7 linked regions of the Cricetulus griseus genome follow. The protein of the gene in region 2 interacts with the protein of the main gene of each other region in a pairwise test. Links are inferred from orthologs where the notes say so. Each region holds a gene or a part of one and is shown on either strand. Other genes may lie near its edges.

What was found.
Region 1: the proteins of phospholipid scramblase 2-like (region 2) and Anxa11 interact in a two-hybrid assay, tested with the Homo sapiens proteins (2 studies listed by BioGRID and IntAct). The two-hybrid records come from large-scale screens. The link is inferred for Cricetulus griseus from reciprocal best matches to the Homo sapiens genes PLSCR1 and ANXA11.
Region 3: the proteins of phospholipid scramblase 2-like (region 2) and Ccer1 interact in a two-hybrid assay, tested with the Homo sapiens proteins (2 studies listed by BioGRID and IntAct). The two-hybrid records come from large-scale screens. The link is inferred for Cricetulus griseus from reciprocal best matches to the Homo sapiens genes PLSCR1 and CCER1.
Region 4: the proteins of phospholipid scramblase 2-like (region 2) and Cry1 interact in a two-hybrid assay, tested with the Homo sapiens proteins (2 studies listed by BioGRID and IntAct). The link is inferred for Cricetulus griseus from reciprocal best matches to the Homo sapiens genes PLSCR1 and CRY1.
Region 5: the proteins of phospholipid scramblase 2-like (region 2) and Ewsr1 interact in binary tests that used the Homo sapiens proteins (3 or more experiments, as listed by UniProt). The two-hybrid records come from large-scale screens. The link is inferred for Cricetulus griseus from reciprocal best matches to the Homo sapiens genes PLSCR1 and EWSR1.
Region 6: the proteins of phospholipid scramblase 2-like (region 2) and Esr2 interact in binary tests that used the Homo sapiens proteins (3 or more experiments, as listed by UniProt). The link is inferred for Cricetulus griseus from reciprocal best matches to the Homo sapiens genes PLSCR1 and ESR2.
Region 7: the proteins of phospholipid scramblase 2-like (region 2) and Slc35a2 interact in a two-hybrid assay, tested with the Homo sapiens proteins (2 studies listed by BioGRID and IntAct). The two-hybrid records come from large-scale screens. The link is inferred for Cricetulus griseus from reciprocal best matches to the Homo sapiens genes PLSCR1 and SLC35A2.

What each region holds. Positions count from the first base shown.
Region 1 is NW_023276807.1:193,979,203-193,983,663, forward strand, and holds the start of Anxa11 (annexin A11), read right to left. Parts: upstream 2,926-4,461; 5' UTR 2,772-2,925; intron 2,447-2,771; exon of another isoform or gene 2,298-2,446; intron 1-2,297. UniProt on the Homo sapiens protein: Binds specifically to calcyclin in a calcium-dependent manner. Required for midbody formation and completion of the terminal phase of cytokinesis.
Region 2 is NC_048597.1:201,287,345-201,291,054, reverse strand, and holds part of phospholipid scramblase 2-like, read right to left. Parts: intron 2,402-3,710; coding exon 2,169-2,401; intron 155-2,168; coding exon 112-154; intron 1-111. UniProt on the Homo sapiens protein: Catalyzes calcium-induced ATP-independent rapid bidirectional and non-specific movement of phospholipids (lipid scrambling or lipid flip-flop) between the inner and outer leaflet of the plasma membrane resulting in collapse of the phospholipid asymmetry which leads to phosphatidylserine externalization on the cell surface.
Region 3 is NW_023276806.1:163,522,498-163,525,687, reverse strand, and holds Ccer1 (coiled-coil domain-containing glutamate-rich protein 1), read right to left. Parts: upstream 1,893-3,190; coding exon 699-1,892; downstream 1-698. UniProt on the Homo sapiens protein: Regulator of histone epigenetic modifications and chromatin compaction into the sperm head, required for histone-to-protamine (HTP) transition.
Region 4 is NW_023276806.1:150,258,538-150,263,024, reverse strand, and holds the start of Cry1 (cryptochrome-1), read right to left. Parts: upstream 2,881-4,487; 5' UTR 2,317-2,880; coding exon 2,159-2,316; intron 1-2,158.
Region 5 is NW_023276807.1:99,823,683-99,828,096, reverse strand, and holds the end of Ewsr1 (RNA-binding protein EWS), read right to left. Parts: intron 3,545-4,414; coding exon 3,415-3,544; intron 2,496-3,414; coding exon 2,373-2,495; intron 1,997-2,372; coding exon 1,834-1,996; intron 1,581-1,833; coding exon 1,483-1,580; intron 1,333-1,482; coding exon 1,080-1,332; intron 969-1,079; coding exon 929-968; 3' UTR 584-928; downstream 1-583. UniProt on the Homo sapiens protein: Binds to ssRNA containing the consensus sequence 5'-AGGUAA-3'. Might normally function as a transcriptional repressor. EWS-fusion-proteins (EFPS) may play a role in the tumorigenic process.
Region 6 is NC_048598.1:127,302,396-127,306,602, forward strand, and holds the start of Esr2 (estrogen receptor beta), read left to right. Parts: upstream 1-1,233; 5' UTR 1,234-1,841; exon of another isoform or gene 1,842-2,037; 5' UTR 2,038-2,116; intron 2,117-4,207.
Region 7 is NC_048604.1:114,346,334-114,350,570, reverse strand, and holds the start of Slc35a2 (UDP-galactose translocator), read right to left. Parts: upstream 2,890-4,237; 5' UTR 2,881-2,889; coding exon 2,790-2,880; intron 1,474-2,789; coding exon 1,291-1,473; intron 1-1,290. UniProt on the Homo sapiens protein: Transports uridine diphosphate galactose (UDP-galactose) from the cytosol into the Golgi apparatus, functioning as an antiporter that exchanges UDP-galactose for UMP.

The sequences.
Region 1 (4,461 bases), on a different chromosome or scaffold from region 2:
TCTCCTTCACTTCCCCACTATTCTCTGCCTATCCTATAGCTCCACCAATACTCAAGCCACAAAGACGTTGCCTGCCTCTCATCCAGCTGACATTTCCTGTACACTTTAAAAGAAAGGCTCACCATGGGCAGTTTGAAAGACTAAGATGATTCAGAAATAGTCTCTGTGCTCCAAAGACTGAGATGTCACAAGGACCAGACACCTGGTCATACAAGAGAACTGGACCAATGACAAGGCAGAGCAAGAGGGCATGTCTTATCCCTCCTACCGGGGAGCAGAAGTGGTCCAAATGATTTGTGAATAAGAAACGAGCAAAATGGAGGGAAGCGGGTGGAGCGGTGTGTGCTAAGACAGAGCAGTTCAAACCGGCTGCACCCTCGGCTCTTGCTACCATTGCAATCCACTAGCAGCTGCACTTGATCACTCACAAGCCAGGCCTTACCTTGGTAACCTAATCCAAGCATCATCCATCCCACTGTGATGCACCAGTTGCTACCTGTTCTAACTGGTCAGTACCTGAGCATTGTGGAGCTGTTAAAAAATGTAACTTAGTACACGCCTCTAATCCCAGCACTCAAGAGGCAGAGGCAGGTGTATCCCTGAGTTCCAGGCTGGCCCAATCTACACAGCAAGTTCCAGGACAGTCAGAACTACATATAGAGACCCTATCCCTAAAAATAGATGATTGAGAGACAGACAGATGGTTGGATGGATAGACAGATAACCCCCCCCAAAAAAACCCAAATAACCCTCAAGGGGCTGTCGTAATGGCTTGGCACTTAAGAGCACATGTTGCACCCACATGGCAGCTCTTAACTGTCTGCACACTAGTTCAAGGGTATCCAATGCCCTCTTCTGGCCTCTAGGGACACCAAGGGCACTAGGTACCCACATAGTACACATACATACATGCAGGCAAAAACACGCATACACGCAAAATACAATATACTTAAAAAATTGTAAAAGTAAGCTGGGTGAAGTGGCCCACACCTTTGATTCCAGTACTCAGGAGGCAGAGGCAAGCAGAACTTTGCATTTGAGGCTAGCCTGGTCTATAGACTGAGTTCGAGAACAGCCAGGGCTACACAAAAACAACAGAAAATTGTAAAAATAGAGTAATTCATAGGGCTAGAGATGTCTCTTTGGAAAAGAGCATACTGCTCATGCAGAGGACCAGAGTTCAGAGACAGGCAGCTCATAACTACCTATAACTCCATCTCCAGGGCATCTGAACACACAGAAACTCAATTAAAAATAATATAAATAGTCAGATGGGCGGTGGTAGTACAAGCCTTTAATCTTGAGAGGCAAAGGCTGGGGATCACTCAGTTTGAAGCCAGCCTAGTCAACAGAGTGAGTTGCAGGACAGCCAGGGCTACACAGAGAAACCCTGTCTCAGAAAACATAATAATAATAATAATAATAATAATAATAATAATAATAATAATAATTTTTTAAACATTAACTTTCTGGGCCAGTTAGCACACACCTTTACTCCCAGCACTCAGGAGGCAGAGGCAAGATCTCTATGAGTTCCAAACCAGCCAGGGCTACCGAGGGAGACCGTGTTTCAAAAAACAAAAAATCAACAACAAAAAATTAACTGGTTGAATCCTCACACTAAGCCTATGAAATAGGAATTATAGTTATCCTTATTGTATGGATGAGGAAATCAAGGTCCAGAGATTAATGATGGGTCAGGGAGGAATGGTTGCATCCAAAGTAGGCACTCTGTGTTAGAGCAACAGACTGCCCTCACTCACCTGGCTTGCCTGGTTAGAGAACACTAAGCATAGACAAGCATTGAGGGAATGGCCTAGTTGTTAATCCTCCTGGAATTCTCAGTAACTGACTGAAGCAAAGAAATAATGAAGGAGCATAATGAAAGCAAGCTGAGGGTGAGCAAGACAGCAGGCCCTGTCCTACGAGGCTCCAGACATGCCCAACCTTTTGACAATGACACACAGTCATCTACAAAGTGTTTACACTTGAGAACAGCTCAATTGAGTTACACTACCCCACCAGAAAAAAAAAAAAAAAAAAACTCATAATTTTAAATTTACTGATTTTGTGTAGGGCTGTATTCGTAGCTTTTTTCAATGTAGCCCCGGGGTACTCCTGCTCAAAAATCCCTCTTGTGCCGGCAGGACAAGGCCTAGAAAGGGAGCAGACGATTTGGGCTGACACTAGAGGGTCCCAGAAACACAATCTTCAGAGACACCCACTGATCATCGGGCGGTGAGAGAAATCCCCAGCTTGAGCTTAGAGCTATCCGCCCCCCCAGATCTATTTCCTACCTAGTTAGGTCTTTAGGAGTCCGGCCTGAGCCCACGGGAAGTGGGGGAGCCAAGCCCAAGAGTTCCTCGGAACCGGCGCGTAGGCAGGGGCGAAGGGATCCTGGCTGGATACGCGTTAAGAAAGGCAGGCAACGCAACACTACACTTGGCACGATCCAGCATTCTCTGAACCACTTGGGAACCCTGCCTTATATAAACCCTGGGTGGCAGGTCCAGGAACCCGCGCCCTGCAGTTCCGGAGCAAAGTTCTCAAAGACAGCCTTCTCGGTCGGCAGGGTTCGGCTCAAGCTTCTCCCGGAAGCGCACGGAGTTGGGAAGACCTGAACCAACCCCCAAGCTCTCACCCGCTGAGGTCCCAGGCTCACCAGCTCAGACCCTGCTCAACACCGAGTCCTGGCCTCGGGGGACCCTCGCACCCCCCGCCGAGCGCGAACACCCAGCACCGGCAGGCCGCCCACGGGGACCCCCACTCACCTGGCACCGGGGACCCGGGCGCTGAGGTTGACTTGCAGCTCCTTCCCACTGACGCTTTCCCGGATCTCAACCCGCGAGTGTCTACGTACCACGGAGGAGCCCGCGGGGCGGAAAACTCTCCAGGCGTGGTCGCCTTAAGCGCCCCGGGGCGGAGCCACGTGGGAGGGGTGGGGCCTCTCTAGAGGGGCGGAGTGCGTGGGACCACGCCCACAGGTGAGGTCCGCGTTCCTGCGTGTCTGCCTAGGAAGCCTGGTGCCTGCTCGCAGCGTAGAGCCGCTCTAGACCCCTAGAGACTTTCACCCGACTGTATGTTTTTAGAGATCTGACTGTGAAGAAAACTTTAAAAAGTCACACCACGTGTACGGCAGTAGGAAACTTCATAACGGAAAAATTTACCAACTGGCTCAGCCGGGTGACCAGGGCCACCATCAGCAGTGACGAATTATATTGACCTTCTGCCATGCGGTGTCTTCCTCTCAGTGACACATGATCCAGTGTAATCGTGCAGAAACATCAGACAACCCCCCAATTGAGGAACTCAACAACTGTCCAAAACTGTCAAGGTCATCAAAACAAGGGAAGCCTGAGAAGATGTCACATCGAGATATGAAAACTGAATAATGTGACATTTCCAATGGGATCCTGGGAAAAGGACATTTAGGTTAAAAAATAAACCAATGACATTTGAAAACTATAGATTTTAATAATAATGCATAGATATTGGTCCTTTCATTATAGCAAAAACACCAGCATGTTAATGACAGGACAAAACCCATGTTTATGGTAACTCCATGTCTTATCTTCCTAATCTTTTCTATAAATCTAAAACTATTCTAGAAATAGTGTTTGGGGTTAATTTTGGCTTTGTTGTTCGTTTGTTTTTAGAAAAAGGTCATGTCATACATATATGATTGGGTAACATTCAAAAAATAAAAATTGAGAGTCCTCTTTTTTATTTACACCCCCCCATCACTATTAGGCGCCTGCTTCCAGGTGTCTGTCCAACATTGTCTATGTGTGCATTGCTTAGTATGCTTAAGTAAACGTGTTGCTTGCAAACCTGGATTGCAGTATTTTTTCCTCACTGTATATTGGAGTCTTTTCAGTTGGCGACCCTGGATCAGCCAGGTTTTTCCTAAGAACCACCCAGTATTCTCCCTACCCCCTTAGGGATCGAGATTCTTTACTATCTAGCTCCCACCTGGTGTACACGTCTTTCCTTGGCCACTTTTGACTTGCAAATAAGCCTTTAGTCATTTGCATTTCAGGAGCCCAAAGAACAGAGAGTCAGAAGGAGCCTGGAAGGCAGGTACTTTGCCATTGTTGGCCCTGCGCCGAGGGGTCCACGTGCAGGCAGGTGGGGCTGCCATCATCAATCGTTGCTCTAACACATACACCTGCAGGCACAGCTCCTTCCTGATTGGATAGCGTGTTTAGGACAAGAAAGGATGGGCGGGCAAGCAATAGCTCCTGGAAAGTACCCCCTGAACAAAAGAGGGACAGAAAGAACAAGTAACTTGCTATTATACTTGTGGGGACATTGGGCTCTTGTGAAGTCTGCCACCAAACCAACTCCAATCTTCCTGAATTCCAGAAAGCTACTGTCACACTCTCTCTGGGGCGGGGTGATTCTTGAGGGAATGGCACCTGGTTTCAAGGCAGCTCCTCTGTCCCATCCCTGCTCAATGCT
Region 2 (3,710 bases):
TCCTGGCTGAACCTCCCACAGAAGAGTGCTGTAGGAGAGGCAACTTGCAGGCCGTTAACTGTATGAACTGCTCCTGTTTCTAGAAATACCACCAATGCAACAGATACATACCTTCCAGAAGTTCGGTTTGCTGATGAATCAGTATCTGATCTATCTGTTCCAGAAAAGAGAAGATGCATGGAATTATTATCAATTCCTAGCAGGGTCAACATTTCACACTCCCCATTGTATTTTGTATAGCATCACATTTTTATATATTAATGGCAAATATTTATTTAAAGATGGACTTATTTTTACCTGTATGAATGTGCAGCCTAAATGCATGTAAGTGTACCCCTTGCATCCAGTACTTTCGGAGGGCATATGTGGGAGACAGACTCAGTGAAACTGGAGCTGAAGATGGTTGTAAGTGGCCATGTGGGTGCTGGGAATCAAACCTGGGTCCTCTGCCAGACCAGGAATACCTCTTAATTCTTGGGCCATTTCCCAAGCACTAGTTTGTTTATTTAAACTTTTGTTCATCTCAAAAGTAAGAATTTTTAAGTCAAATAAAGTTGATTTGTAATGGAATTCCCATAAAATTACAAAAAAGTGTTCTTTCCAGAAAATGAGATTGATTGATAATTTATTTATCCATTCAAATAATTTTCTTATAGGAAGCTATCCCTTGTAAGTGATAATTTTCCTTCATATTTTATTTTCCATGATTAAATTATGTATATTCCAGAGTATTTTTAAGATTACAATTAGCACTGAAATTTCTCTTATATTTAAATAATCCACTAAGTCCAATTAGTGCTGCCCATTTGTACACAGGTGTGCAGGTATAGAGTAGAGCATGGGAAAACTGCCAGTGCTCACACCCACAAAGAAGAATGAGCTTCCTTCCCCAGAAGCTAACAAGTGTCCAGAGCTCCTCAGTTAGGAAGCCCCCCTTAGCTGCTGTGCATTCCTGAGTTCAGCAGTCACACCTCATCCAATAGATTGCATTCCATGGCACCTTTCCTTATTCTTCTACTTCTACATTCTTTCTGCCTCCTTCTCTATAATTTCCCCAAGTCTTGGTGTGTGTGTGTGTGTGTGTGTGTGTGTGTGTGTGTGTGTGTGTGAGAATTCATAACAATGTCCTCTTACGGCTGAGCATTCAAAATGACTGAAAATTTCTAAGTCTGTTGCTTGAACACACACAGGACATGTTAGTGCTATGTGTGCCAGACAGACTAGAGATGGCTTAGATATCACAGGGCCCTCTGGATGTGTTCATGAATTTGGTGTACCTCACAGCCCTCTTTTTACCTCACCAGCTTTTCATATTGAGCTATTATTAAACTGCATTTTTGCTAAAATTCATTATCATTGAACTATAGTTCGGCAAAAGCCAGACTTTCTTCCCTCACTGGAGGCAATTATAATATTGGGTTTTCTAAAGAATAAAAGTGGAGTTACAGTTTATAAAACTACATATATGAAAAAAATTACTCTTTCCCAGCAGTGGTGGAGCACACCTTTAATCCTAGTACTTGGGAGGCAGTGTCAGGTGGATCTTGTGTGCAAGGCCAGCCTGATCTACAAGGTGAGTTCCAGGACAGCCAGGGCTACACAAAGAAACCCCCGTATCAAAAAAACAAAGAGAAAAATTTTAAACTTGCTCTTTTTTAGGTATCCTTTAAAGACAATAACTAATTTTTTTTAGACTCTCTTTTTTCAAATACCAAGGCTGTGGGTCAGCCTTGGGGTAAAAAGCTTTTATACTCATTACCAAAGTTCACAGTTAAAAAGTAAGTCACAATGACTGTTCCGTGGTTTTAGAGCCTCCACAAAGCAGTTAGCATTTTTTGACGCTGGTTTCCCTCTTTGAAAAACCAGTGATAATCTTGTGCACATGTCACAGATTTTCTAAGGATTGTACTTGAAACAATGACTAGAATAATGTATAGTAAATACTGCCTATTAGGGGTTATAGGCCAGACTCACAGGAAAACACAATTGTCTCACACCTTGGTAATTTGCACAACAACTGAACTTCATCTAGTGGAACCAGTTACTATGAGTAACCAGAAGACATGAGGACAATGCTATACTTCGGTGAATTATTCATTTGTTGTCCAAGTAAACTAGAAGTAGAAACACAGTTTTGTCTTTTGTGAGTTCTGAGTATGTGGATTTACCTGACTTAAGTATTCTAGCCCAGGTGGGCAGCTCTGAAGAGGTGGTGGTGCTGGCATCCATTGGGTATTAACAAGGATGATAGCCTGGTTATTTTGAACAGGAAGCTGTGTTGCATTATAACCTTCACAGCCAGCTGTTGAGACTGTGTAGCCAGCCTGAGGTCCTGGGTTACCAGAGTGGGGACCTTGGTAGTCAGTCTGGAATGTAGGGCATCCAGTATGTTCTGGAATTCCTGAAATAGGAGCAAGGAAATTGATTTGCAACTTCATAGAGAAAAGTATAATCATTTCATGTTGAATTATCTTGAGGCCTCTCCACTCTGGTCTATGATGTTTAAGACTTTTCAATGCAGTACCTGTGGTTTATACCTGCTTCTAATTATAGGTATACACAACCAAGTTTATTGTTATACCAGTTAGTCATAATCAGCCAAGATGTGGCATCAGCCTAGATACCTACCAACATATGATGAAGAAAACTACACACACACACACACACACACAGAGAGAGACAGAGACAGAGACAGAGACACAGAGAGACACGGAGAGAGGAATATAGATAGAGATAATATGGATCTTGATATGGATATGATAATGGATATAGATAATAGTTTATTCAGCCATAAAGAAGCATGAATTCATTTGTAGGAAGAAATATGAAAGTAGACATCACCATATAATGAGACATAAGCCAGATGCACAGGTGTTTCTCTCTTTCACAGGAGCATACTGATTTTCTCTGTGTTGTATAAGTGCCTCTCGCTAATCTATATCCAGATTGTGTCACTGGAGCACCTTCTATCTGATTATTGGGTTTCAGACAATCTTTTTTATCTGAACTCTGAAATGCACTTCAATATGTGATCTATTTTTATAGCCACCCATGTGCACACACACACACACACACACACACACACACACACACACACACACACACACACACAGTTCAGAACAACAAAGCAAAGTTTACAACAATATTAACAATTAAATTAGCAGACAAAGTAACACATTATATTGTGACACTGACATACTTGAATATCATGTTCTTTGTTCACAATTCATCTTCCATTAGCCTCTTGTGTACCTGTCTATATTGTCCCACTGGGTTCTGACTAATCCCTCAAATAACTGAGTATGCTTTTGATGTTATATGGTCATGGTTTTATAACTATATTCCACACACAAAAATAATAATAAAAGTAGGTATATCTGTCTTTGGGAATCTGGCTTGTATCTCTCTCTCTCTCTCTCTCTCTCTCTCTCTCTCTCTGTGTGTGTGTGTGTGTGTGTGTGTGTGTTTTGTTGTTGTGTTGATTTTTGATACTTGTTTTTTTGAGATAGTTTTACTATACTGCCATGGTTGGAGGTCTTTAACTTGCTATGTAGGCCAAACTGGTGCCAAATTCACAGAGATCCACCTGTCTCTGCCTCCCAATTGCTGGAATTAAATGTGTGCACCACCACACCCAGACTGGTTTGTATCTCTTAATATGCTGTGTCTAGTTTCATCTATCTTCTACAAATGACTCTTTTCACTCTTTT
Region 3 (3,190 bases), on a different chromosome or scaffold from region 2:
AGTTACCTTGGATCTTAACTAGATGTGCAAGTTGACTTCTGACCATGGGGAATCCTCTCCATGCATGGATTATGGATTGCTGAGGCCATGGCAGATAACCAGTTCCACAGAAGCAACTTCATGTTCTTCTGAGGAAGATCCATAGCACTGTGGAACAAGGAATATAAATGAGCAATGCCACAACAGACTGCAAACTGGGTTACCAAAATACAGCCCTCAAAAATGAACTCTGAAGGTGGAAAATCTACAGCTGCTGAAAAATACTGTTCAAAGTGCCCTCGGTGACATGAGCACTGGTAAGTATTCAGTGACTACCATGCATGCTTCTTAAACACGTGACAATAAAAAACTGTTTATTCCAAGCTCATTAAGCTGTGTAAATTTAAATGTTTTCTTGTTATTGCAAAAACTTTGAACTACCAAGTCTCAATTGTCTGAAAATGGAGACAGCAAATAAAAATATTCAAACTGTAGTAATAAAATATTTGGTCTTTAATCATTTCCAGTAAAATATATCTGAAATCTTTCCTGCCCCCACCCATAGTCATACACAAACACACCAATGTTTAAATATTTTATAGTGGCCAACGGAGGTGTTTACATTGATGTTTATTAATGGAACTCACTTTGGAATTTGTATTTAATAAGTTGTTAATTCAAATCAGTTCTATTTCATTTCTCAGTTCCCTTCTTGATGACTAATGGCTAATGTCCGGTACCATAAACAGATCTGCCTCTGGCACATTGGGAATTATTTGTTCTGGGCTTAAATAGTCATAGTTTATAAAGTTCTCTCTCTCTTCTTCGTCCCCTACTAGGACTGACAAAGGCATTCCCAGAGGCAAGAATTTGTCTTCCTCTCTCTGCTCTCCCTCCTGCAGCCCCTCCTCTTCCAACATCTCCTCCTCCTCTTGGTTCTCTTCTCCTTCTTCCCCATTGTCAGCCTCTTCGACTTCTTCCTCATCCACATCTTCATCCTCTGTCTCTCTATATTCCTCCTCCTCACTCTCCTCCTTTTCATCACAAACCTCGTCACAATCATCAATTTTTTCCTCCTCCTCCTCTACCCGCTGCGGGGTGGGAGACTGGATTTGCTGCACTGGAGCAGGACTTAAGATTAGAGAGGGATCCTGCATGAAGCCATACAGATCTTCCGGCAACTGCGAGTCTTCCTCGACGCCGCTGTGAGGCGTCTCATTGGCAGTGGAGCCTCCCGGGGTGGTGCCGCCCACCTGGGCTTGCTGTGCTCTCAACGCCGCCTGCTGGCGCTCCAGCTTCTCTTGCTGCCTCATGTCTTCATAGACCTGGTTCATGATGAACTGGGTGGTGTTCCTTGGCGCTCGCATCCCAGGCGCCCGCCACCCGTAAAGGTTGACCGGCCGCAGCAGCTTGCTCAGGTCTATAGGTGGGTTCCTCGGGAAGGAGCCACGAGGCTGGCGGCGCAGGCCACGGCCCCTGCGGCCCCAGCGCTTCTTTCTGCCCTGGGGTCTTTCCCAACCGGGGTTGCAGGGCCAGCACCAGCAGGAGCAGCAGCAGCAAAGGCAGAGTGGGAGCAGACCATAGGCCCGGATCATCTGCGCTGGGCACAAGGGGCTCTGGAAAGCCATCAGGGGTGGGTGCCAGTGCCCTCCGCAGCGCCCCCAGTTGGAGTACACGGCCCAGTAGGGCCGTCTGGGTGGTTGGAACCAAGGGCCAGGGCTGTGCTGTTGCTTGGGTTGTTTCCTGGTAGCCTCATACTCAGCTTTGGGGCCATTGCGGTATCGCCGCTTGGACATCTGAGAGCCCCTCTGCCTTCGATGGTAGGAGGACCAGGTGCGCAAAGGGATGGAGGATGCCCAGCCGCCGCCGCCCAGATTGAGGGGATCCTCCCTTTCGTTGACCGTCTGGGTCATGGCTCAGGGATCTTCACGAGATCTTAGTGGTAGTGTCCTACGAGTCCTCACTTTGGCCAGATCTGATGCCCAATCAGAAAAGCCTCCTTAGTTGGAGTCCCGAGGACCACGTGCTCGTGCCTGTGACCTTGTCTTCTGTCTTCACAAGGATCCCCCTCTTTCTTCTCCACTTGCTAGCTCTTCTTTCAGAATCACTGTCTTTCGCACCTGGGTTGTCTTGCCCAGGTGGTTTGGGTGGGGTAAGGATGGTGGGGGAGGAAGGTGTTGGTGGGCGATGAGCTGTGAGAGCCACTCCCGGATCCCACACACACCCGCCTCAGCTGAGGCTAAGGCTGGGGACGGGAGAGGCAGGGTGGCCTGTTACCTTGCTCCTCCCTCTCAACCCAGGTGCTTCACCGTCGCCGTCCTGGCCGGACTGAATGGGGCCTGGGCAGTGGCAGCCTTTAAATACAGGCTGGTCCCCCTCCCCCAACCCCGCGTGCCCACTGCGTCTTTGGTTGCCCAGGACGACAGCCAATTGGGGTGGACATGCTGCTTTATGTGAGGAGAAGGGGTTCCTGCCAGAACAATTATCACATGAACATTCGCAAGGGGTCTTATGACGCAGGATTTGAGGCAGAGGTAAAGGTGGGCAATGCTCACACCCTGGCAACGCTTGGGGGGTGGGGGTATTTGAATTTTCCATCTTAAGTCTGTTGAGCGATGTTGGAATATGGACCTTCCTCTTCCGCATAGTGAAATCAGGAAACCGTGTATCTTCTCTACAGCTGTGTGGGCAGCTGCGGTCAAGGAAATCCGGCCCCCAATTTGTCCTCAGTCTTCTAAGTTCAGAAGTTAGTTTCATGGTACATGAAACATTATCACAAACATTTACTGGGGGTGCATCCAAGCATGTAATGTCCCTTCCTCTTCAAGAGATGGTTACTAGGTTTCACAGAGGCTGGAAATGAAGTGACTTTGCCCAAGGTCGTGGAGACTTAAGAACTTTACAGCTGGCCTTGAAACAAAACTGATCATAGAGATAAGTTCACATCACATAAGTTCACATAATTTTCACTAGACCCCTGAAGAGAAGTAATGGGTTACAAATAGAAAATACCTTATTCATTCTAATATCCACCTACAGATCTGCTGATTAAGCATTAGCACGAAGAATGACATGAATTTGATTTTGAGAATAGGTTTATTCTGGTTGGAAATGGTGTTTGACTCGGGTAAACGATTATGAATCAGATTCATCTTCCCTTGTAAGCTCTTAGGAAGCCTGGTTCTGTTGTATATAGAACACATCCCCCAGG
Region 4 (4,487 bases), on a different chromosome or scaffold from region 2:
CTACTGTCATGAGTTTGGTGATTCCCATCATCAGACCTGTGAGAGCCTTTTCATTTCCTCCACAATGTAAGAACATGTAGAACATGCCATCTATGAAGTATACTCGTCCCTGCTAGATAGCAAATCTACTGGTGCTTTCATCTTGAACTTCTCAGCCTCTAGTCTTTTATTTGTAAATTACCCAATCTAACCTGTCCTGTTACAGCAGCCCAAATCAGCTAATGATACCAAATATTCATTAACAAAAAAAAAAAAAGAAACTATACATTCCTAAGAATGTGTAAGAAGCAATACCAAGCACAGTGTAGGAGTTCAGAAGACTGCATCATCCTAGACCAGATGATGAAGGTAACACAGAAAAAGCAACATTTGGGCTGAGTCTTAGAGAGATAAGCAGACTTTTTAAAGTTCACAGCTTAAAGGCTATTTACAGAGGTATGAAGCCATAACTTCCCGCTGTGCCCATAGCTAGACCCTCCCAACTTTGCAGTTTCCCCAGGACTAAGTCACAACTAAACTGCTCTCTGTCCCTGTGTATTTGCCCACTGTGGATACTTCATATAAGCACAGCCATATAATATATGAAATTTCATGACCAGTTTCTTTCACCTAGCATGTTTTCATGGTTCACCCACACATCTTACAGCATTTATCAATATTTCATTCCTTTATGGACAAGTAACAGTTACAAGGATATACCACATTACAAAGAGTAATCAGCTGATGGATATCTGGGTCATTTTCATCTTCTGACTATGGTAATATAGTTCCTTTTGTTGTGCTCAACACCATAACCAACTTGCCAGAACATTCTGTGCAAGCCATTTTCATCTTGCACTGGGATAAGTACGAGTCTCCTAAGTGGTCTTCTCAATTCTTGTCTGTCTTCATTCCACCATTTAGCGTGTTCCCGGAATCACAAAGAAAAATTTTTGTAACTTAAGTCAGATTATGTCACTTCTCTGCTCATAATCCTATAATCATTTCCACTTTGCTCTGAGTCAAATCACAGACCTTAGTAACTGCTTATAAAGCTCTATTCATGTGGCCCCATTACAACTCCCACCTCATTAGCTATCACTTTCCCCACTCATTCTGCTCCAGTCATTCTGGCTGGGTTTTCCTTCCAAAGGTCCTGGAACGCTCTTCTCTTACATAGCTGCATCCCATCACTTCTTCCAAATCTGCTATGACGTTCTCCACTATTTCTACAACAGACAACGTTTTTTTTTGTTTTTTTTTTTTTTTTTCCCCCATGGTTCTGAGGATTGAACTTCATACACAGCAGGTGTACTCTTCCAGTGAGTTATAGCCCCAGGTAACTAACAGTATTTTAAAGTGTGCCCCCATCCCCATTCCTGTTACCTCGTGTTTTCTCTGCATTACTTCTTGTCACCTAAAAGACTACATATATATTTTCCTTTCTCAGACATATGCTGAAGAGGACAGACTTTGTTCACTGCTCTATCCCTCACATTCAAAGCTATGCCTGGCACATAGCTACCAATACATCTACCGAACTAATGCTTTCATTTCATTCAGCCGCACAATCATCTATCCTGCTTTTTCAGCAACAGCTCAAAAAACATCCTGAGGGTTTCTTCCAGGGTGGATTCCCTAGAAGGATTATATTTTGCCTCGAAAGAAAAACTGTGCTTTATCTTGTCAACCACAAGGAGGAGTTGAGAGTGAGATAGAGCTAAGCAAAGAGAAATCAGGTAATTCTTTCCCTTGCTTTTCCTCCTCTAACCTCAAGGGGGAAGAAAGCTCGATCTGGAACCGGCTGTAATAAATGAATGGTTTTTCTCCACATTATGAGTTACCTAGACACACACGTCAACAGTAAAGATTACAACCCTTTCAAGGGCCAAAGGAATCAAGGCCTGGGAGTGTTTACTTCCCCTACTTTTTATATCTCACAAATCGGGGAAAGAGTTTCCATCACACAGACACATAACTTAGGATGAAGACCAAGGTGTTCCAGGTGCTCAGTACCATACTATTAAGTCTACAGCATTTAATATAGACCACATCTACAATTCTTAAACGGTGTGAACAATTCGATCCCTGAACTAAAACCAAATCTCAGATCTGCCACTAACTCATCAACACCCATTCGTGTACCCCGCGATCAATTCCCCAAGTGCTTTGGACTCACCGCCACCTGTTGATGCCCACATTGGAAGAGCCAGCGAACCAGGGGTCGAGGATGTAGACGCAGCGGATGGTGTCGGCGCCCTGGATGCACTCCTTCAGGGCGGGGTTGTCGTGGAGCCGGAGTCCCTTTCGGAACCAGTGCACGGCGTTCACCCCCATGCCCGGGGCGCGACGGGTCACCCCGACTTCCTCTACCGAGAGTTTCAAGGGAGGGAGGCCGGGCTCATAACCGACACCTGCGCTTCCAGGAGAACCTCCGCACGCGAGGAGTGGGGAAAGGACGGCAGAGAGGGGACGGGAGTAGGCGACGCCGAGGCCGGGCGCGGAGGCGGCGGGCGCGCAGCTGGCAGATGAATGGAGGCTGCCGAGGCGCTGAGGTCCACGGGCGACGTCCTTCAGGAGCCCGCGCCCGCGGCCAGCGTCCGGAGGACACGCATACCTTCCGGGGCCTGCGACCCCCGGGGCGGGAGCAAGCGCGCGGGGCTCGAGCCGCCACGACGGCCCGAGCTGGCCGCAGCAGCCCCGGGAGGCTCGTCACGGAAACCTCGCCCTGGCGAGGCGGCCGGCGAGGAGACGGTGGCGCGTCCCAAGCGGCCTCCACGCAGCGACACGAGCTCCCGCGGCCTCCGCGCGACGCGGCCTGTGCGCCCCGGAGCGGGCAGGGAGCTCGGATCGCGCGGGCTGGCGCTCCAGGCCGCTGGACTCTCGCCGGCCGGCCGGTCCCCGGTCCCGAGGCTGCCCGGGTGACTCCGCCGCGTCAGCGGCCTCCGCCCCGCCCCCGGCTTCTCATTGGGCCGCACGCGCCCCACGTGACCACCGGCACCTCACGTTTCTGAAGTGTGTTTACTACGTTGGCCCAGACCCCGGGGTGAGCGGCGGCGCCGGGTGTTTCCGGACCAGTGGAGGCTGCTCGGCACTCGGGACCGCAGTTCTCGTGTGGGGTCCGCGCTCGCCGCCTCCGGTGGCTCCTCATCCCCGGGACGCTCGCCCGGGGCCACAGGCCGCGGGGGAGGGGGAGGAGGCGGAGTCCAGCTGGGGGGCCGGGAGCTGCTTCCATTGGCTGAGGCTCGCGGAGACCCGGATGAGCACGGGGCTGCAGGGAGCTCGCGGGCGCGCGCTCACGGTGTAATCCCAGGGTTCGGGAGCGCGCCCAGGGAGGTCTGAGGCCGGCTCGGGGAACCTCCGAGAGTTGAGGCAAAGCTGGGGTGAGAGTTAGAGGAGGAGAGCCACCGCCTACTTCAGTCCCACGTTAACCGGAGTCCCTCGCTCGGGGAGGGGCGGAAACAACCCCCTTCAGCCTTTTTTCTGCTTGGCACCGGCACTTGTGCGTGCACAGGCTCTGGAGGACAGGTCCGGTACCAGATATTCGGCACTTCCCGGAGTTTCGTAATACTGCCGATATGTCGTCAGTTTACCCACTCTAATCTATTACACAGGGTTTGGTTTAGAAGGTATCTTGATCAGTTTTCTGTCAACTGAAGTTAATCTGGGAAGAGGAACCTCAACTGGTAAAGGTCTCCGTCCGGTGGCCTGTAGGGAAGTCTGTGGGTATTTTCTTGATCAATGACGTGGAGGACCCGACCTGTGTGGGTGGTGCTACCGCTAGGCAGGTTGTATAAAATAATAAGCAAGCTGAGCAAACCGAAGGGGAGTAAACCGGTACACAGCTTTCCTCCATGGCCTCTGCTTCAGCTCTGTCCCCAGGTTTCTGCGTTAAATTCCTGTCCTGACTTCTCTCCATGATGGACTATTAGCTATAAACTTCCTGCCCAAGTTGTTTTTGGTCAAGGTGTTTTATCCGAGCAATTGAAATCTGACTAAACACAGGGCTGCATGTGCACCTTTGCCAGACTTTGAAGCAATAAACTGCTTGTTGTGCCCTAGACATATAATGCCCATTTTGTTGAGGCAGGGTCTCATGTAGCCCTGGCTTGCTTTGAACCTGCTATATAACTGAGAATGATTCCTGTCATGTCCCCGCCCCTGAGTCCTAGCATCACCTATGTGCTTATATTACCCACGAGATTATATATTACATACATATATATCTATTTATATCTATATATCGACATCTCTATCTCCAGAAAGAAAGGGGGAACATTATTAAGTTGTTTAGGGTGGCCTTTAACTAACCTTGTAGCTCAGGGATGCCTTTATACACCCCACTCACTTTCAGGAATACCTGGGGTTATAGGCCTGTACCACTAGAGACAGCATAGCAATTACTTATTGAATGGAACAGGTGTGTTCAAAGGGAATAACAAAATCAGATAAACTGAAAAATAAAACCCCAGCTCTCTTGTGGAGTTTATGATTTGTTTCTTAATCTT
Region 5 (4,414 bases), on a different chromosome or scaffold from region 2:
GACTGAACCAGAGGCAGCTCTTGGAAAAAGGGTGCCAACTGAGTTAAAAGCACAGGGTGAAGAGCTGACATGGTGGCTCAGGTCTTTAATCTCAGCATTTGGGAAGCAGAGGCAGGCAGCTCTTTTTAGTTAGAGGCCAGCCTGGTCTATAGAGTGAGTTCCAAGACAGCTGGGACTACACAGAGAAACTTCAAAAATCCTAAAGACAAAACACAGTGGGAGGTCTGCTGGGTAGAGGAGCACCAGGAAAGTCAAGAGGGCAGAAAAGGAACTAAGAATGATCTGTTGGCGCTGCAGGGGACATGGCAATTGTCTCAGTGAAGACACAGGATGATCCTGTGGGTTTAGACAGGTGGAGCTGGAATGACTGAAGGCCTGGTGGCTGGCTCAGTCTTCCAGAAGTAGGGGAGCAAATGTTAGGCAGCAAAGCCTAACAGTTCCAGCTCACTCTGGAGGAGCCAGTGGATGAGAGCACAGGTTTCCAGCAGCTTACCTCTCCAAGAGCACCCCCAAGTCCCTGCACCCATCCAATAAGGGCTGGAAAGAACCGAACACGAGACTGCAGAATAGAGGCCGAGAAAGATGAGAGTTTATAAACATTTGGAATTTTATTTAAAAAAAAAAATCACAACCATGAACATTGTTACAATTAGAGGCCCTCTTGGTTCTCCACAATGATACTGAGCATGCTCACAAGGGGTTCCCATTGTTAAGTCTTAAAACAACCATCTTTAAAAGGAAAAAAAAAACTCAGCACACTACCATTTAACTTGTTTTAATGTTTCTTCACAAATGGTGAAAATACTAAAGTACAGACAAGGAATAATCATAATGTTGTGGCCAACATTATAAATATGGAATTATAAATTTAAAACATTTTCTGGTTTAAAAAATAAATCTGGTCGTCAATGCAGCTCTGCGGGTCTGTCTAGTAGGGCCGGTCTCTACGTTCCTGACGGTGCTCGCCTCTGCAAGTCAAAGAGACACTTTGGTTAGAACAAGGAAGGGACACAGAGCCCTACCAGAGCCCCCAGTGCTCCAGCAGAGGCTGGGGAGAGGCAGCGCTCCCCACCACATACTTATCCATTTTCCCAGGTCCTCCACGTCCGCCTCTTCTTCCTCCCATCTGTTCCATCAATGGTCCAGGAGGGCCCCCAGGACCACCTCGTCTTCCTCCACCAAAGCCACCTCGGTCCATTCCACGGCCACCTCGGAAGCCACCTCTGTCTCCACCTCGGCCACCTCGGAACATTCCTCCAGGACCACCACGGTCCATAAGCCCACCTCTTCCTCCCCGCATGCCACCAGGGCCACCTCGGCCTCGATCACCACCTAAGGTAGGAAGGAAGAGTGGTAGGTGAGTCAGAGGAGTAGAGGCTGAGGCTCTGAGGACACACTGTGGTGGATCTGCTAATCCTTCTCCTAGAGCAGACACTACTCAATCACCAGGAAGCTGAGACGCTCCAAGAAACCTATACCTACCCGGAGGTGGGAAGGGTGGCGGGAGGAAGCCCTCAGGCTTAGGGGCCTTACACTGGTTGCATTCTGTTCTCCAGGCGAAGTTCTGGTTTCCACAGCCCCTGCATAAAGTTGCATCACAACAGAAATCACCAATAGAACTAAGGGGGGTAGAAAGATTCACACCATATTCTATGCACAATCATGGGAGTCCAGGCACAAAACACTAGGGTCTGAAGTAAGTCTCAGGCAGCAAAGCACTCCCAGAAGCAACCTGAGTACTCAACCAAACCTCTACCCATAACAGTCCTGTCCCAGAGTGGGAATAGGGTGACACCACTAGCAGGCTATCAATCTGCAGGGAGAAGTACATACGGATTGGGACACTGCCAGTCTCCAGCTCGGTGCTGGACATTTCCTCCTCCAGAGGGGTTCCCTCGGGAGCCTCGGGGTCCCCGTGGGGGGAAGCCTCCTCTGTCTCCTCCACGGCCTCCCATGCGTCCCATGGGTCCTCCAGGACCACCTGGGCCACCAGGACCTGCAACAATAAACAGTCAATCACCTCTTCATAGCAAATTTGCTACAGGAAACTCTTCCACAGGCCCAGAGTGCTGTCCATGAATGCTATTCTTTCTGTGCAATTTCATGTAGCTTCCAACTATGGCATTTTCATATAATGAAACTGACAGCCAGTCAGAGGTTCCCTGGAGCTCTACCAATTAACCCATATTGTACAAACATACAATGCTGGCTCAATGGTCTAGTATCAATTTTACACACCCTTTTCTTATTTTACTGTTCTACTAAGTTTCTCAAGGGCAAAAATCACTGAAAAACAAAAAACAAAAAAACCCAAACCAAAACTGTTTAAAGTAACACAAAAGTAGCTAAAAGAAAGTGCCCAATGTATATACCTCCACGAAGTGGTGGTGGCATCCCTCTGCCCTCTCGAGGTGGCATGCCACCCCGCATGCTGTTCATTGGAGGCTTCTTTCGGGCAAGAGAAACTTTAAGTTTGCTTCCTTGAAAATCTTTTCCTAGAAAAGGTAACAGAACATCAGTGATCCTTACATTTTAACTCTTCCCTCTCCAAGGAGCTACTTTTCAACAGATTCCATCTTACTGAACTTGTCTACCCACCAAAGCATTAAAACCTCACAATCTCTAGGCTCTTTCCTGGTATGACTGGAGATGAAGTATCACAGTTTGTATGGCTTGTTTAAACATGTACAAGACTGAGCATGGTAGCCAGCTAGCCAATGCCTATAATCTCAACATTTGGAAGTAGATGTAGGAAATAGATCAGGAAGCTCAAAGCCATCAATAGCTACATATGTGGGTCTTGGAAACACTCAAATGTACACTGGCAAAGACATCTTCCTTTCTGTGTCCTTCTCTCTTTCATGATGTTAAGAAACTGAACCCAGGGACTATACACGTTAGGTGAGTATTTGCAGCGTGAACAAGGTAGCTTTGCAATAAAACACACATAACAGGATATCCTGACCCAGGGCCAGTGTCTGTGTCCTTTAACAGTAGAAGGGGAACACAGTGAGTAACTTCCTTCTGGAGTGGATCATCTTATTGTTTCAGCTCTCAAATTCCTTCCTCCTCCCCTATTGTGGTCCAGAAAAAGGTTAAGTACATTCCTTCGGTTTCTACATTCCAGAGAATGTTGTTTTTTGAAGACAGGGTTTCTCTGTGTAGCTTTGGAGCCTATCCTGGCACTCACCCTGGAGACCAGGCTGGCCTCAAACTTACAGAAATCCGCCTGCCTCTGCCTCCTGAGTGCTGGGATTAGAGGCGTGCAGCACCAACGCCCAGTGGCCCCAAAGAATGGTGTTTTAACAGTATCCAATATAACACATACTTTCTCAGAGGGGACACACAAACTGTTCTAATTTCTTAAATGTTCCTGCATGAGCAAAATTCAGAGTGACAGGGAGGACATCCTACCATCAAACCATTCCACAGCAGCCTTGGCAGTTGGTGGATCTTCATAGGACACTGTTGCATCACCTTTAGGCTTTCCTGTCTCCTTATCCAGATAGATGTGGATCATGGGTTGCCCAGTTCTCTTGTTCATCTACAGTTAAAATAATTAGGATGTGACTATAACATTTGAACTTGAAGAAGTTCACAGTAATTCCTAAGTACCCCCTGTTGTCAAAAGGCAGCCACATAGAGTGTGATGTTCCACACCTTTAATTCCAGTGCTTAGGAGACAAAGACAGATCTATTTCTAGGCCAGCCAAGGCCAACACAGCGAGACCTGTCTGAAAAAAGTCAACAGGCAGACATAAAGTCTACCTCAGATACCTGAATTAAAGGTGTGCACCACCACTGCCCAAGTATAATACCATAAAAAAAAAAGGCACAGGAAAGAATACAGCAAAACAGTCGTACGAACAAGAAAATGCTATTTAAAAAGGAGTTATGGTCATGAATGCCTGCGTGTATGTATGTGCACCTCATGTGTGCAGTACCACAGAAGCCAGAAGAGGGCATCAGATCCCCTGGAACTGCAGTTACAGAAGGTTGTGAGCCTTGGGAGCTGAACCTGGGTACTTCTAAGCAATCTTTCCAGCCCCACAAATCTTTATTAAAAACAAACAAACAAACAAACAAACAAAAACCTCGGGGCGTTGGTGGCGCACGCCTTGAATCCCAGCACTGGGGAGGCAGAGGCAGGCGGATCTCTGTGAGTTCGAGGCCAGCCTGGTCTCCGGAGCGAGGGCCAGGATAGGCTCCAAAGCTACACAGAGAAACCCTGTCTCAACCCCCCTCAAAACAAACAAACAAACAAACAAACAAAAAACCCACCAAAAACCAACTCAACAGAAAATCAAACAAACAAACAAAAATAAAAACAAAACAAAGGGCAGGAGAGATGGCTCAGAGGTTAAGAGCACTGACTGCTCTTCCAGAGGAACTGAGTCCAATTCCCAGCAACCAA
Region 6 (4,207 bases), on a different chromosome or scaffold from region 2:
TATCCCTGCAGGCCAGAAGAGGGTACAAGATCTTATTACAGATGGTCATGAGCCACCATGTGGTTGCTGGGAATTGAACTCAGGACCTCTGAAAGAGCAGCCAGTGCTCTTAACCTCTGAGCCACCTCTCCAACCTCACTGGGTACATTCTTATCTTGTAGCTTCATATTGTGGATGTAAGCTCTGTGAGCCTCCAGTCCTTGTCGGGAAGGTGGGGCCAGTATTACCTGCCTCTCAGAACTGGTATAAACATTAAATGAGCTGCTGTGCAGTCTGGCTTGCTATACATACTCCATAGATGCTTTCTTTATCCCCACTCCACCTTTACCTGCCTCTTGGCTCTTGATTGACAGTGCTTCACTGATGTTCCATTCCAGGTGATTTTTAAAATTAAGAACACATTGTTGTTCGTATGTAATAATACATTGTGGGTGTGTAACATGTTGGTTACATCCAAACAGTCGAGGTTGGCATTGTACAAGTTTCCCTCAAAATATCCCCTTGGTCTCCCTCTGTTAGACCACCACCCACCAAGAACCTTGTCCTGAGTCTGGAGAGACACCCCAGCTGTTGAGATAGCATAGTCCTCTTGAAAAGAAGCCTAAATCTGGCTAGGTGGTGGAGGCACACCCTTAAATCCCAGCACTTGGGAGGTAGAGGCAGGCAGATCTCAGTGAGTTTTAGGTCAGCCTGGTCTACAAAGTGAATTCCAGGAAAGCCAGGACTGTTACACAGAGAAACCCTGTCTTGGAAAACCATTAAAAAAAAAAAAAAAGTCTAATTCTGTTGTCAGCACCCATGCCCCAGGGCTCACACCCTCCTATAACTCCATCTCCAGGGAATCCTACACCTATAGTCTCTGTGGGATCTGCTCGCATGAGCTCATGCCCACGTGCACATAATTAAAAAGATTAAAAGGTAGATCTTTAAAACCCTTCATAAACATGTCCCCCGCGCAGTGTGTGGATGGTTTGATGACTGATTAGGTACACATGTGACACCTCGTTAGCCTACAGGTCATTTGGTTTCCTTTTACCTTTTCCCATCAGTGGCTGCCTTACAGTCAATTATTTCTCAGAGACTAAGATATGATCGCAATCTTTGCATAGTAGGACCACTTCCAGATGAATGGGGAAGGTTGACAACCTTCAGAGCTGGGAGAATCAGGGCTGCCGTCAGGGGGCGCCAGAGACCCTCGCCGCCACGGTGGGAGGAGCCCTATAAAAGCGTAAGGGGCTTTTCTCCAGGTGAATTCCAGGAGGCACCCGAGATCCTGGACCTAATCCAAGACTTTTTTCCCCTTCATTCTCTCTCCTCACCCCCGCCGTCAGACTCTGAGAGATGAGTATCCACGCTTCCACCTTCAGCCGGTGGCTTTGCCTTTCTGGGGATCAAGCTAACGCTCCCTGCAAGGGACCTATCTGGCTTCATGACTCCGTTATTACTGCCCCTTTCGATGCTATTACCCGAACCCAGGGCCTGGTCCACGCTTCTCAAGGATAGTTGTCAGACTTAAGCGTTTAATGACATCCGCTTGGGTCAAAGACTGGAGACAGGATCAAGTGTGGACCCGCACTGTCAACTTCAGAATCCCTGGGGACCTGGTCAGAAATGCCCATTCTCTCGGTCCTCCATTGTCAGTCTCTTGGGCAGGGAGGGGGCGTCCCTAGTGGGTGGCTGTGAGATGGCTGGAAGTGGACATCCAGTGGATGTGGAGGCGCAGCGCCGGAGTGCCGGAGATCTCCAGCTCCGGGTTCGCGGTCACGTGGGCTCTTCAGCTAACCACCCACCCCCTCTTCACCGTCTTTAAAAGGAAGACTCACTAACGCCGTTAGTCGCGGGTAATCTTTGCAGCCTCTCCAGCTGCTGGCCTTTTTGAAACCAACTCCCAGGTCCCTGTCTCTTGCTAGGCTTCTAGAACCACCCCTTGAAACTTCCCGGGAGTAGAGGGGGGCGGGCGAGGGGAGCCTGGCCGGGAGGGAGCTGCTTGTGCTGCGACTGGCATCCTTGGCACCCGGTCTGAGTAGAGTCTGGCAGTTCCAGCTGGGCTGAACGGCTGCTGTGAGTTCTGCGTGGGGACCAAGGAAAGCACGTGTCTGCTTTTAGAGAATGCCAGGTAAGTGCCCTTTGGCTCAGAGTGTGGTTTCATTGACTTTGTGTGGATTCCTGCAATGGGAAGCCAGCAATATTTAGAACAATAAAGGGGCAGAAGGATGGATGCAACTGCTTGGACACCACTGGAAACAGAAATTTTGCTGACTTTTGGGTTGGTTGTGTGAATATAACTGTTTTTTTTTTTTTTTTGGAAAAAAAAAAAGAAAATTCCCGTGGTTTTCTTCCGTGGATTCCTGGTGGTGGATGAAATGATGAAGCTTTTTGCCTGAGTATCGTGGACCAGGGAAGATGTGCCTATTTCAGGCCGGTGATCACGGCTTGGTCATGGTAGTCCTTAGTCATGTCAGAAATAGATTTATCTTTTCTTTCTGGGTAGTCTCAGATACGTTAAATCTGATCTCTCTTATTTGCTGGAGAGGAATCTAACTGTTGCTTCTTCACGATTACCTGTGATAACTGTTTCACAGTGGAAGCAGAAAATTGGGTCAAGTGAATATTGTTTTTGTGTGTGAGAAACAAAACTTTGAATTTGAGTGGAGCTCTGTTCAGAAAGGAAGCTTGTTGGTAATTCTTACGTTTTAGAAGGCAGGTGTGTTTTGCGCAGCAAGCAGCACTCCAGAGGAAGGAGTTTTGTTTTGTTCTATTTCAAGTGTTTCCACTTGAAGTTTTGTTTCTGCTGTAATGATTCCACTCATGGTGATATTTCCTCTCTTTCCCTGTAAATGTTATTTAAAAAGTGAATGGGAAGATTAGACGGCAGCTATATGGGGACAATGAAAAGAGTGTGATAAATGCTTAACTCACTTTCTTCTCCAAGAAAGCCTGTAGAGTGGCTCACACCCCATGACATACCTTTATCTCCAAAAATATTTACATTACGATTCATAACTGTAGCAAAATTGCAGTCACTAAGTAGCAACAAAAATAATTTTATGGTTGGGGTCCCCACAACATGAGGAACTATGTTACAGGGTCACAGCGTTAGGAAGGTTGAGAACCACTGCTCTAACAGACGTTCTGTCTGAACAAAGTAAAAGGTCACTAAGTGTTAAAGCAGAAACTTTAGCATTCCATTTTATGTTCGGTGGTTTTCTGGAGGAATCTGAAATTCTTATTTCAAAACCAGTGTTAAAAGGAACACTTTTAGTCTTGCTCAAGATATCTAAGTGTTTGAAATAAACAAAAAACACATGTAGGGCCATTTCAAGGAGGGTTTAGGAAGCCAAATGGTTCGAGTCAGAGTTGACATTCCTCAGAATGGATTTTTAATATACAAAGGTAAAACTCGGTACTCAGTTCAACCTATCAAATATATAATTTGCCTTTAATGGGCGTTATGCCCTTTGTGAAGACTAAGTCACTGTAATTCAACAGGCCATACCTTAAAATTTATTTCATGATAAAATTTTAGTTGATGTTTCTAGTCATTTTATGGAATATATTAGGAAATGATTACATAAAATTCTGAGGAGTAAACATCAATCACTTGCTGGTAATTTTTTGTTGATTGTATGCAAAGCCCTTGAAAACTGAATGCGTGGGTATTAGGTCTCATAATTCAGTGTTTAGTACATTGTGATAGACATTTGAAAAATTATGCTTATTGCAGTCTTGTTTACAGACAGTTGAATTTAAGCTTAAAAAAAATACCACCCTGAGGGTTATGATAGAGAGGGATTAGCTGTCTCTCATTTTGGAAGATACACATATAGTTTTAAAGAGTTTCATGTAAGTCAATTATTAGCGGTCAGTTTTATGGTTATTTTAGAGTAAGTTTCTTTGTTCCTAACTTAAAATTGATTGGGGACCTTACTATTTTGCTTTGGAAAAGATACATGTGAAGGTAGTAACTGCTAAACAGAAACAGCAAGAATGCTTGGTGCTAAAAAATGTGTACCTAATGGTCCAGGGATGTGGCTCAGTTGGCAGAGAGCTTGCCTGGCATGTGCACAGCCCTGGCCTCCATCCACAGCATTGCATGAATCAGGCATGGTGGTGCTTGCCTATAATCCTAGAACTCAGAATATAGAAGCAGGAAGACCAGGGAGTTTAGGCTGCATAACAATTTTCAGGCCAGCTTGGGCTACATGAG
Region 7 (4,237 bases), on a different chromosome or scaffold from region 2:
AGCTCAGGCTATCAGGCTTGCATGGCAAGAGCTTTTACCTGCTGAGCTATCTTGTTAATCCTATGTTTTATTTTGAGGCTGGGTCTTAGCAAGTTGACCAGGTTGGTGTTGAACTTAGGATCTTTCTGCCCCAGCTTCTCAAGTAGCTGAGATTACAGGCCTGCATCATCAGGTCTGGCTTTGTTCTTTTGTTCATTGGGGGTTTGGGGTTTTTGTTTATTTATTTGTTTTGTTTTGAGATAGGATCTTTCTTCAGCCCAAGAAGACCTAGAATTTATGACCCTCCTGCCTCCTACATGCTGAATTACCCAGTTTTATTGTTATTTTATCATGTATGATTTTATTATGCTTCCTTTTTTTAGATAGAACTTCAGATAGTTCAAGCTGTCCCTGAACTCACTATGTGGTCAAAGATGACCTTGAACTGCTGATCCTTCTGCCTCAGATTATAGGCATTTGTCACACTGGTTTATAAGGTGCTTGATATCAAACCCAGAGCTTTATATATTCTAGGCAAGCACTCTATCAACTAAGCCACACCCCCATCTGTAGGTATTTACTTATTGCTTGTTTTTTTCTTGTTTTGAGTCATTGGAGCATTAAATGTTGCTCAAACTAGCCTTGAAGTCATGGAATTAACTGATGCTCTGCCTTAGTATGCTGACCAGGTGTAGTTACAATTGCATGACACTCCAGCCAGCTGGTCCTATAATGGTGCAGCCATGTAAAAGATATATAAATTAGCAGTGAGCAGCTAGCCAGTGATGCTACTTTATGACAAGTAGCCAAGGGTTGAGAATTGTGAACCATTTTACTATTCTCTCTCTCTCTCTCTCTCTCTCTCTCTCTCTCTCTCTCTGTGTGTGTGTGTGTGTGTGTGTGATGGAGTTCTTTATATTACAAAGTTTCTTTCCTTTCTAGACTGAGTCACATGTAGCCCAGGCTAGCCTTGAACTTCCTATGTTATCTTGATCTTCCTGCCTCCACCTTCCAAGTGCTGTTACTATAGGCATGTACCTCCACACTTGGCTTCCATAAGGTAACATTAAATTTTTGAATCCCCATGAGTGTTCTGTTGCCTGGTGGGCAGACCATCTCACTACTACAGTTTCCAAGGTGGAAGGGCTATACAAGCGGCGATGAAACTTTACACAGCTGGAGTGGCAGGGAAGCCACTAGTCTCCAAGCAATTTCAGACACACCAGTATACACTCCCCCCCCAAAAAAAAACCTCCCAGGTGTGCTTACACGAAGGGGGTCAGACCAACCAACCCCTTCCCTGACTCATACCCCTCTTCTGGGCGAAGAGCAGCAGGAGACAGGTGACACCTTTAAGCACTTCAGCCATGACCACAGCGGTGGTGGCAAAGAAGCGATCACCAGGCAGTGTACGAGCATATCGGATGCTAAGGATGAGGGAGGCGTTCTGGACCACCAGCACAGCTAAGGATATGTACTTGAGGCGCCGGTGAGCTGTAGGGAGTGGAATGAACACAGAAGGATGGGGTCAGAAGCTGTTGGGGTACAGCCACCCATCTCACCCCTCTTTTCTCAAAAACCTCCCAGTCACTGGAACTTCCTCTGCCTGCCCATCTTGACTAAACAAGAATCTGATTCCCTACCAGTTTCCACACCCTCAGTTACTGGCAAAAGTGTCAGACAGGGAAAAGCGGGCCCCATTCTGACCAGCTCTTAATCTGAAATCCTTGGTAAGGTGTGAGGAAACAACCTGAGCAGGCCCTGGACATACATATTCACTTCCTCTCCCTCCTCTGGGAAGCAAGTCTTTCTCTGACAGCATTCCCCATGTGTATTGAATGCTACTGCCTATCACTGCACTAAGGGATTTACATGGATTCCCATTATTTGGTCTCTGAAGGTACTGTGAAAAATCCCATATTGTGGATGAGCAAATTGAGGATTTATATGAAGTGAGGTTTCTACTTGAAGGAGTGTCCCATAAAAGAAATAATACTTCAATATAACGAATGGGACAATTGTCTAAGATGTCCACCTCCTAAGGATTGTTCTATTTTCTCATCTCATCTAATGGTTACTCAGTAGTCTATCTTAATCACATAAGGAAATACTTCCCTACACCATATAGTCCATCCTTCTTCTGCTGTAACCCTCCTCCCAGCCAAAGAATAATTCTTTGTTCTACCCACACTCACAATGAGCTCTGTCTGCTATATAGAAGGACTTGGCACCCTCAGAATGTTTTTTCCCTGACCTATAAGGAAGGAACCTTCCCACCTTAGCATAAATAGAACTATCTCCATTTGGCTGGGACATCCCCAGGACAATCTCTCCATGGAATGAAGGGCAGCGTGAGGCTCAAAATGGATCCACTAGTCATACAAGGATATGCCCCACCCTGACAATTTATAAGGTGCCTTTATAAGGAAGAAGCCACCACCCTAAGAATCGCCTCTCCCTTCTATAAGGAAAAACTCCCACCCCAGAATTGGCTTTCCCTTCCACGATTAAAGACTACCCACACCCCCAGAACGTTCTCAACGGTCAGCCGCCTCAAAAGGAAATCCCCTACACATTCACAACGGTCTTTATTTGCAAGTCCAGGACCCCCGCCACAAGCACCCACAAAACGACCGATTCCTGCCCGCAATGGACAATGGTCCGTTCTCTCCCCTTCTTCCCACTCTCATACACACTCAAACACAACGTCCGTTCATACGAGACGCCGCTGTCACTCCAACTAAGGATCGTTCCACCCCCAAGGATCCCCATCTCCGCCCAGCCAATTGCTCTGCCTCAGGTCATCTCACCCGCTGTAGCGGACCCAGGCTCCAGCGCGCCAGCGGATACGGCCCCTGGCCCGGCCGCCGCGGCAGATCCGCCAACCCCAACCGCTGCCATGTTGGCATCTGCCCGTTCCGTCCCCTCGGCAACAGCAGGCTACTTCCGTATCCATCACGTCCGCTTCCGGGCCTCCGGAGTGGTGGGCGGAGCATTAGCTGGGACGGGGAGGTGGGTGTTCTTAGCCCGTTCCAAACCCGATTTTTTTTCCAACCCCGATTCTAAAATGGTGGTTTCGAGCTTCCCAAATTTCACCAAAACCTGAGAGACCAAGAGCGCCACAGTCCTTACACTTCTCTGCTGGCACAACGTGGCAGCAGACCCGGCCCACACCTCCCTGCCGGCCTCACCGACCCCGACTGTCCACACCACCAGCCCAAACCATCCGGTGGTTTCATTGGTTATGTTGCTCCGCCATCTCGGCTTTTTATTGGAACCTTCGGATGGCACCACCCTTCTCACATGAGAAACTCAGTTCCATTCCCATCTCCCAGCCAGGTCCCGCCCTCTAAGGGCCGAAGGCCAACTGGGAGGAACCGGACTTTCGAGAAGGCGGGACAAGTGAGACATAGGGCTATGGCTAGACTCAGAGAATGCCCCATCTAACTTCAGTAGGGAGGGCTAGTCACCATAACAGAGGAAATGATGGGCAGGGTTCAGGACAATTGACGTCAGAATTAGAGAACACCAAGGGAGGTGAGTTGAGGTAGATGGGAGGAGGAGCATGGAAGGCAGACAAAATTAAGGTTTAAAGAGCTACACAGAAAGTGCTAGAAAGATTCCAGTTGGAGCCTGGGATTTATGTTTGTGCCAGTAAATCCCACCACTCCAAGTTTGAGGCTAGCTTGAGCTTCAAAAGACCCCATCTAAAAACAAAAACTGTCAGACTGGCCCACTGTCTCATTGGGGTTTTCTTCAATAGAGATTTTTCTCCAGGCATCTCCTAAACTCAGCATACAGTAGGTGCTCCACTAATGCCTACCTCTATAAATGGCCATTCACTTGTGACTTCATTATTTATTAAATAGGTTTCCACACATGGCTTTTTAAATAATCCAGGCAGGGGGAGAAGGGACAGGAGGGCACACTTGCAGCTCTCCTACCGCCAGTACATCATTATTTACACTTTAGTCACTGGACAATCCTGGCTCAGGAGGAGGCAGCAAAAGTTGGAGGGGGGGGACCCCAGGAGAACAGACAGTAAGACTTATTTCCTCCATTCCATCCCCCCAAAACCATCCATCCCATCCTAGTGTCTGGTGGTGTCCGGTGATGTCCATCTCCCATTCCTTCCCAAATTATGGAAGTAAGGTTCTTCTCACCAGAATAAGAGCACTTGGGATAACAGTAGGGTCCCCTCACCAAAAAATTATAATAAAATAAAGAAAAAAAAGGATAAAAAAAGCACTGGGATACT